Pelodiscus sinensis: one gene and its partner. The protein of the gene in region 1 interacts with the protein of each later gene in a pairwise test. Links are inferred from orthologs where the notes say so. Each region holds a gene or a part of one and is shown on either strand. Other genes may lie near its edges.

Region 1 (4,581 bases):
ATAACTAATCTTCAACAAATAGCTTCCCACTCTTCCTGCATCTGTGATCTGGACTTAATAGAAGGTGACTATCTCCCTCCAGTACATAGGCCTACCTGGCAGTAGGGTCAGGTGCCATATTCCACCTGTGTGTCTTGCTGTCCAATCTTAGATCTACACGTGGCTGATGGGATAGTTTGGTGGGAGAAGACAAGTATCTGTCCCCAACATCTTTCACCCTGAAATTCCAAACCCTTTAGTGACTAGCAGCAGCGCTTGCACTGTCCATGCTCACAGAGCTGTCTCCCTTTCGCAGTTAGGGTGTGTGTAGACTACAGGGTTTTGTCAAGAAATGTGGACTTCTGTCGACAAAACTATACCTGTCGCTACACTACCGCCCAGTCCCGTCGACATAACTCGGCAGGAAACCCCATTCTACGAGGAATAACGCCTGTTGCGCAGGGAGGTCTGGCGACAGAAGGCGTTCGAGCAGCTACACTGTCCTGTGCATCCACACTGTGCGGGCGGCAAAGAGCTTGCTCTGTCGCAGCGGGGGGGAGGGGGGGTAGTCTAGACGCTCCCAGAGCCTGTCCTCCAGACGTACCCTAAGTAAAGCGGGCCCTGAGCCCAGCCTCTCCCCCAAACATGCCCCGGGAAGGGGGCAGCGGGGCCCTAGCCGGGGGGGCGATTCCCAGACCCGTTCTCAGCAGGGAGCTGCCTGTATGACGCCCCGCCCCACTGCCAGGCAAAGGCTGAGTCCCGCGGGCCGGGGCACGGCAGGAAGGGGCCTGCGGGCTCCCGAGCCAGGCCCTGCCGCGCCAGGGGCTCGTGTTGCTCCAGCCGGCCCGGGGCGAGGCGCCCGCAGCGAGAGCTTTCTCCTCAGCCCCGTTCCTGGGCAGGCGCGAGGCGCCTTCCGTTCCCTCGGTCTGCCCCGCCCCCAAACGGCGCTGCGTCACTTGGCCCCGCCCCCCGAGCGCGCAGGCCGGGGGAGGGGGGCGGGGCGAGGGGGCGAGCGCGAGCGTCATAGCGTAGGTAGGCGTCGACGCGCGTGCGCTCCCGCTGTGTGTCCGGGCAGGGGGACAGCGGGCAGTCGTCCTGTTGTGCGCCTGCGCGGAGCGCGGGGTGGTTATATAGGGAGCGGCGGCCTGAGGCGCTCGCGGAGGGACTCAGGAGCAGCCGGACAAGCGGCCGAGGCGAGTGGGGCCCCGGGCTGGGGGGAGAGCGCTCCGGCCGCGGCTCGCCCGGGCAGGGCAGGGCAGGGGGGCGGGTTCCCCGACTGCCGGCTCCGGTCCGCAGCGCTCGGGCCCCCCGCCCGGGGACCCGCCCCGCTGAAACCGGGGAGGGGTCTCGCTGCCCCCCCCCCCCGACATTGGGAAACCCCGTTTGCCCCTCGGCGTTGCCGGGCACCCTCCCCCTCCCCCCCCCCCCCGCGCGGGGCCGGCCCCGGGTGCGAGCACCAAGTAAATGGGGGGGGGGGGGGGAATGCTTGAGCCCGCCCATCGCAGTAACCTCCCGGTCAGTCCGTTCCCTGCAGCTGCCCCTTTAAACGCTCCCCCTCCCGCCCCTTCCTGTGGGCAGCCTGGAGCGCAGCCCCCTCATCGCCCACCCTGGTTCTGATCGCTCCCTGGGTCTCTGCTTCATTCATCGCACCGCGGGGCTGCCACTGCGCGGCTTTCCCCCCGCGGGGGCTTGATTGTTGTGTGTGTTATGCAACCTGGCAGTCTTGTAGGTAAGACATTATCTAACGCTGTTGCCGTTTCTGCATCTTGCTACAGGATCCAAACACCCGAAAATGGAAACTGTTGTTCGCCGCTGCCCGTTCCTGTCACGGGTATCCCAGGCTTTTCTGCAGAAGGCTGGCAAGTCGCTGCTCTTTTACGCTCAGAGCTGCCCTAAAATGATGGAGGTTGGGACTAAGCCTGCTTCCCGTGCCCTGGGTACTTCAGTTGCTCACTGCCAACAGGCCGAAGAAACAACTCCACCTAATGACAGTCAGTGTCAATTTTGTCTTTCAGGTGCTTAAAATTATGGTAAAATAAAGCTTCCTCACCATAAGGCTTTTTAGATTGTTTAATACTAGCTCCCAACATTTTCCTTTCATTTATAGGGCTAGGAGAGGTTAGAACCTCTAAATTGCCCCTGATTTTGCTCTCTCAATGAGTGGCGTGAAAACCCAAAAAAGTTTACCAGTAAATATCTCGCTGTTGTTCTTACTCTGTATTGCTTATATACTCATTCAAATGCCTCAGGGTGTGTTGGGATTTTTTGTTTGTTTTTAAAGACTGGTCTGTCTGGTTTGTTAAGCTTTTCTTTGAAAGAAAACTACTTAATCCTGTACGATTCAGTGTTGCACTTGGAATAGGGTTATGAGTTTGGAATTCTGACTTTTGGATTTTGTAATTCATCCAAATCTTGTATGTCTTCTAATGCAATAGAAGTGTAAATGAAAACAGCTACGGTATGTAATGCACACTGAACAACCGAAAGGGAAATTGTGGGAGGTGGAACCTAGCTGTTTGAAAAACACACCACCTTCCAAAAACTAGGAATGCAGAGTATGCTATAACATTGCTATCTTACTGCGAAGCAACGGTGAAAAGGTATGCAATAAGATAAAAATGAATTGGGTCCCTGGGGCATTTGCTAAGCATACATTAAATTATTACAGGGCAACATTAAATGGATATAATCAGCTCTTGATAGCTAATTTGCATCCTAGGTACATTATTATATAATATTCCATCCTTTTAACGTGCATTTAATGATGATAGGGTTACTTGTTCTGTAACATTTGCAGGGTGCCATTTTTATTCAGTAGTTTTTCACAATAACAACCTTTGACTTATGTAATAAAAGCTTCCTGCTTAAGTAGAAGAGGAAGAACTTTAAGCACCCTGGGAACTGCCCAGCCAGAAGGAAACGTCTGGCAATTGTAACTGCCTGAACCAGTTTACTTCTAAGTGTTGTGTTCAATCTTCTCTTAACACGTGTTGCTTATCAATTTAACAAATACTTGCAAAGAAATCAATTGGATTATCTTAAAACTATTGTTCATACTCTGCAAACTAGAGCAGTGTCTGAGAGCAAAGGTCTGCTGACCATAACTATGTAATTGGTACAAATCCAGGTCAGTGGAGTTATCAGCTTATGATTTATGGCTGTTATTGACCCTGGATGAGAATTTATAATAAATAATAGAGAAGGGGCAGCTGGAAAAAGTTTGAAGTTGAAATTAAACTCCTACACAAAGCATACTGGTTCCACATAGGGGGAAGAGGCAATAATGCTGAACACTTCAAGAAAACTTGAGTTTAAATGCTAATCAGATATTGACACTTCATATTTTGTGATTACACAAGTATAGATGGTTCAGTTGCACAATTCTGAATAGCTTGTGGTTTAGCGTCAGTTGTCAGAGTTTTTGTTTTTAGGCAATCCAGTCACCTCAGTTCTTGGTTTTTAACCATTATTTTGTTTCTCCTATCTAAGAGGCCAAAAATTCCAAAGATGTGTCCCCTGAGAAAACCAATGGATCCCAGCTCCCTACTGGCCATCCGCCTGCTGTTACTAGCCAGAACACTAACCAGAGCTCTGCCACTAAATGCCCTTTCCTGGCAGCTCAGATGAACCCTAGGAATAGTAATGTTTTCTGCAAAGCCAGCCTAGAACTCCAAGAGGATGTGCATGAAATGCAGGCTGTAAGGAAAGGTATGTTTTTACGTATGCTGCAATAAACAATGAAATATAGCCTCTTGTAATACCTGGAGATAAAACCTAAGTCTGACAATAGTTATCTTATAGGCCAGAGGGAAGGCCATAGGACACTGCAACAAAAAGTCTTCATTGTAGAATATAAGAATTTTAATGTGCACATGTAGTGCTGTTTGTAATACTCAGAGGGTGCGTCCAGACTGGCAAGATTTTGCGCAAAAGCAGGCAAAAACTTGCCAGCTGTCTACACTGGCCACTTGAATTTGCGCAAGAGCACTGACTTTGTAATGTACAAAATCAGTGCTTCTTGCGCAAATGCTTTCACACTCCCGCTCGGGGGAAAAAGCCTTCTTGCAAAAGAATAATTGCGCAAGAGGGCCAGTGTAGACAGGAAAGAACTGTTTTGCACAAAAAAGCCCCAATGGCTAAAATGGCGATCGGGGCTTTCTTGCGCAAAATCACGTCTAGACTGGCCACGGATGCTTTTGCACAAAATCTAGACGCGCTTTTGCAGAAATACTTTTAACAGAAAAACTTTTCCGTTAAAAGTATTTCCGCAAAATCATGCCAGTCTAGACGCAGCCAGTTTGTGTAATCTTTCTTTATACCAACTGTTTGTCTACATGTTTTTTGTAGCTGCTTTTAGTGAGACTATGTTCTAGTTGCAAAACCTGTCAAGCTATAGCATTCTTTGTCAGTTAGCTTGAAAGAATAGCTCTTGCTATTGTTTATAAAAATTCAATGTTGTTACCAGAAAGTCTTACCAGTATATAGAACACATTAGCATTTTCAAAGAATTAAGCAGCTAGACTGGAAAGCATAAAACAGGACACTAGAGACAAGTAGCAATTGAATAGAATCAGCCTCCCTTCCACCCTGGACCATTTTTTC
Region 2 (4,581 bases), on another chromosome or scaffold:
GGTAAGCCAATCTGGTCGCCTATCATATTTGCTTTTCTTGCTGCGCATCGGGATGGTTTTTTCCTGTGCCTTGAGTAAGGCTTCTTTAAAATACTGCCAGCTCTCTTGGACTCCTTTCCCCTTCATGTAAGCATCCCAGGGAATCCTGCCCATCAGTTCTCTGAGGGAGTCAAAGTCTGCTCTTCTGAAGTCCAGGGTGTGTATTTTGCTGCTCTCCTTTCTTCCTTTGGTCAGGATCCTGAAATCTATCATCTCATGATCACTGCTTCCCAGGTTGTCACCCACCTCTACTTCCCCTACTAGTTCCTCTCTGTTTGTGAGCAGCAGGTCAAGCTGCGCATGGCCCCTGGTTGGTTCCTTCAGCACTTGTACCAAGAAGCTATTCCTAACATTGTCCAAAAACTTTCTGGATTGTCTGTGTACTGCTGTATTGGTCTCCCAACAGATGTCAGGGTGATTAAAGTCGCCCATGAGAACCAGGGCCTGTGATCTGGAAGCTTCTCTCAGCTGTCCAAAGAAAGCCTCCTCTATCTCATCCACCTGATCTGGCAGTCTATAGCAGACACCAACCATAACCTCACCCCTGTTGCTTCCACCTCTGAACTTAATCCATATACTCTCAATAGTCTTTTCTTCCTCAAAATACTGGAGTGCCAAGCAATCATACTGCTCTCTTACATACAGTGTAACGCCTCCTCACATAACAGTGCTCCAGTCATTCAAGTCATCCCACCAAGTCTCCATTATTCCAATCACATCATAGTTCTTCAACTGGGCCAGGGCTTTTAATTCTTCCTGTTTATTTCCCAGGCTTCTCGCATTTGTGTACAAACACCTTAGATAACCAGCTGATCGCCCTACTTTCTTCATTCAAATCAGGGATCCTCTTTTGTTGCTTGTTCCTCCTTGTGTTTCTTCCCGGTATCTGACTTCCTCACTTACCTCAGGGCTTGGGTCACAGTCCCCCAATGAACCTAGTTTAAAGCCTCCTCGCTAGGTTTGCAAGCCTGCCCTCGAAGATGCTCATTCTTCTCTTGGTTAAGTGGATCCCATCTCTTCCTAACAATCCTTGTGCCTGGAACAGAGTCCCATGGTCGAAGAAACCAAAGCCCTTAGGTTGTAAGAGTTTACAAAAGCATAATTTGGTTGCAGGCTCTGTTGCATAGATTTATCATTCATACAAAGGTCCCCACTTTGCAGCAGGTAACACTGTCCACGCCTTGCCAACAATGCTTTGGGGACCTTTCAAGATCTTTGGATGGAAGCAAATGTCCTCGTCGTGATCGTCCAGGGGCTGCGCTGGCTGGAGGCTCCGCCAGGAAGGGTCGCGGCCGAGGCTACAGTCAGCGCAGCCGCAGGCCCCGGCCCCGGGGCGTCTCTTACCTGCTTGGCGCAGGGCGCCCTGCAACTTCCGTAGCAGGCTGAAGGGGACGAGGAGGCCGGGGCCACGCCCGTCGGCCTGGGCGGCCAAGGCCGCCTCCAGCTCCGCCCGCAGCTCCAGGGGAAGCCGCTCGAGCTCCCCGCTGGCGGAGGCTGCCGCCCGCGCCAGCCGCTCCCCGACGCGCATGGAGGACGCCATCTTGAACAGGGCGGGCGGTCACATGACCATAGGCCAGGGCATTCCGGATCAATCATGGCGAGCGGGCTTCGGGGGAGGGGAAGGATGCCGGCCGCAAAGGACGCTGGGAAGGCGGCCGTTGCGCAACCGGCAGGGTTCGCCATGGTGCGGTGCATTGTGGTCTGGTGGTGGTGACAGGGCTCGGCCGCCGTTGTCCCCGCCTCGGCGCGCGGGATGTCGGGCTGCGCGGCGCGGCGCTACCTGGTGGCGGCTCTGAGCGGGTGCCGGGCCCGGGCCCTGCCGCCCCGGGCGGCCGCGAGCCACGGCCTGCGGGCGCTGTGTGCGGGGGGGGCCGGGGCCTGGCCGCCGCCGCGCCGCCTTCTCTCGTCCAGGTGAGGCCGGGGAAGCGGGGGGCGGGGCGAAGCTGGGGCTGGGGGGGGCCGGTCGGGGGGGCGGGGCGAAGCTGGGGCTGGGGGGGGCCGGGAGGAAGCGGGGGTCGGGGGGGCGGGGCGAAGCTGGGGCTGGGGCCGGGAGGAAGCGGGGGTCGGGGGGGCGGGGCGAAGCTGGGGCGGGGGGGGCCGGGAGGAAGCGGGGGTCGGGGGGGCGGGGTGAAGCTGGGGCTGGGGGGGGCCGGGAGGAAGCGGGGGTCGGGGGGGCGGGGTGAAGCTGGGGCTGGGGGGGGCCGGGAGGAAGCGGGGGTCGGGGGGGCGGGGCGAAGCTGGGGCTGGGGGGGGGGCCGGGAGGAAGCGGGGGGCGGGGGGGCGGGGCGAAGCTGGGGCTGGGGGGGCCGGCCGGGGGGGGGCGGACTGTGGGGCTGCCCCGCGCGCCCGGCCTGAGCGGCTGCCGGTCTCCCCGCAGGCACCGGGCCGAAGGCAAAGTGCTGGAGACCGTGGGGGTGTTCGAGGTGCCCAGGCAGCACGGCAAATACGAAACGGGCCAGGTAGGCGGGGCCGCGCCGAGCGCGCTGCTCCTGCCCGCGATACTGAAGGTGCCACGCAGCGGCTGGAACCTGCTGCCTCTGCCGAGCCCACAGGGCTGCCGCGCCCCGCGCCTTTCGTTGGCCGCATTCCCAGTTATCGCCCCCTAAGCCCGCTGGGCACCCTGTGCTGTCTCCGCTCTCCTCTAGAGCCCTGCAATGGAGTGAGGCTTGGATTCTTTCTTCTCTCCTGCCCCATCAATCTAGGTTGTGTCCATATCGTGCTGCTTCTTCCTGCATAATAAAAATAAAATGCTGCCTGCTTAGAAATGTGAGGTGGTTCGTCCTTTCCTTTATTGTTCATGGGTTTTAGTCTATTGGCTGTGAATTATCACAGGACTGAAGTTTATGATTTTCCCTCCCCTTTCAGCTATTTCTTCACAGTGTATTTGGATATCGAGGAATAGTTCTGTTTCCCTGGCAAGCCAGGTTGTATGATCGGGATGTTGCTTCTCCTGTTCCAGAAAAGTAAGGAGTTGGCTTTTTCCCATGCTGTTGTTATATTTAAGCCTTTTACTGTTTTTCCTGCTCTGAGGTTTTAGGAAAGAGTGGGGCAAAGCCTCAAGTGGGTGTTAAGAAGTGAGTAATTTGTTAATTGTGTAGTCAACAAAAACTGGGATGAGGCATACCTGGGAGGTTGACAAATATCTTTGATGTCCACCGCGGAACGTCCAGACTACCGCGTTGAGCTGACGAACAGCCGATCGGCTCAGTGCGGTAGCCATGTAAATTTAAATGAAGCGGCGATTATTTAAATCGCCGCTTCATTTTCCTATGCCGGGTAGTCTAATCTACATGCCTCTGTTGCTAGAGGCATGTAGTCTAGATGTACCCTAAGAGCCAGCACAGGGGTTGATGCTGGTCCCAGCATGAGCCAGGACTGAGCCAGCCTGCACGCACGCCAGCTCTTAGTGCTTGTAGTACAGAGCTGCAGTGAGGGTTGATGCTAGGTCCCAGTGTGAGTTGGGACTGAGCCAACCTCTTGGCCAGCTCACTAAAAAATTTACTTGTGAGGGGGGAGAGGAGTGTTGTGTGTAGTTGATAGCGTTACTCAATAAGCACCGGCTTATTGGTTGTTTTGTTGAATACACTATTATGGCCCTAGTGAGCACCAAACTGGGAGAAATGTGTTCATAATAAAAGAAGCTATTTTGGTATTAATGTAGACTCATTTAAAAGATGGGACAAAGGTTTCAGGAAATAGTGGTAGAATGTTAAGAAAAATATCCTTAGCTCTTTGAGGTGGATTTAGATGCAGGTTGCTGTATTGGTTCCTAGTGATTTGAGCTAGTTCATTTTGTCTCCATTCTTGGCAAGCTAAGTTCAGTTGAGCCTCCTCAGAGATGGAGCCTCCTTGTCTTTCACCTGTCTCTAAATGCAACTAATGAACCCTGCAAGTGAATCTTGGTTGATATGGGGAGGACTGAGGAGTGAACACACTGAAAATAAGGGTGGAGTGAAAGCATGAACCCAAATAAGAAGCCTAACTGATTAGTGGGACTCGTCTCAGTCTCTGTAAATTGGAGCTATCATGCCACTGACATTGTTGTTTTTGGGGGGAGGGGACATTGCTCATAATTTATTGCTGCATATGTAGGTGGTGTGAATCTCACATTTAGAGTCCTGCAAATCCACGGATATCTGTGGCTCATTTTTGCAGATGTGGATGCAGATACACAGTTTTATCTGCAAAAATGAGCTGTGGATATCCACAAATTTGCAGTTCTAGATACAAAATTTGTATCCCCACAGGGCTCTACTCATATTGACTGAAATGGAGTGACTGGAGATCCTGAAGTGTATTCACAACCTACTTTTTCTTTAAGAATGAAATTGTTGCTGGTAGCAACTGTTTATACCTTATCCATATCAGAAATGCATCCTGATGTGTGACACAACTTATTCCCCCTTTATGTACCAACTTGCTGCTGGTGTGTGTAATCATGTAGGGATGTAAGCGACTAGTCAACTACTCAATAAACATGCTTATCGGGTATTCAAGTTGTGACTCAGCTAGTTGCCCCCCCTTGATGCCTCTGTCAGAGAG

What was found. The genes of interacting proteins can lie anywhere in the genome.
Region 2: the proteins of ALAS1 (region 1) and POLDIP2 interact in binary tests that used the Homo sapiens proteins (3 or more experiments, as listed by UniProt). The two-hybrid records come from large-scale screens. The link is inferred for Pelodiscus sinensis from reciprocal best matches to the Homo sapiens genes ALAS1 and POLDIP2.

The regions. Positions count from the first base shown.
Region 1 is NC_134721.1:42,256,061-42,260,641, forward strand, and holds the start of ALAS1 (5-aminolevulinate synthase, non-specific, mitochondrial), read left to right. Parts: upstream 1-1,014; 5' UTR 1,015-1,172; intron 1,173-1,754; 5' UTR 1,755-1,771; coding exon 1,772-1,994; intron 1,995-3,468; coding exon 3,469-3,687; intron 3,688-4,581.
Region 2 is NC_134731.1:416,362-420,942, forward strand, and holds the start of POLDIP2 (polymerase delta-interacting protein 2), read left to right. Parts: upstream 1-1,705; 5' UTR 1,706-1,792; coding exon 1,793-1,950; intron 1,951-2,416; coding exon 2,417-2,498; intron 2,499-2,904; coding exon 2,905-3,002; intron 3,003-4,581. Other genes in the region: vacuolar ATPase assembly protein VMA12, read right to left, coding at 1,384-1,579. UniProt on the Homo sapiens protein: Involved in DNA damage tolerance by regulating translesion synthesis (TLS) of templates carrying DNA damage lesions such as 8oxoG and abasic sites.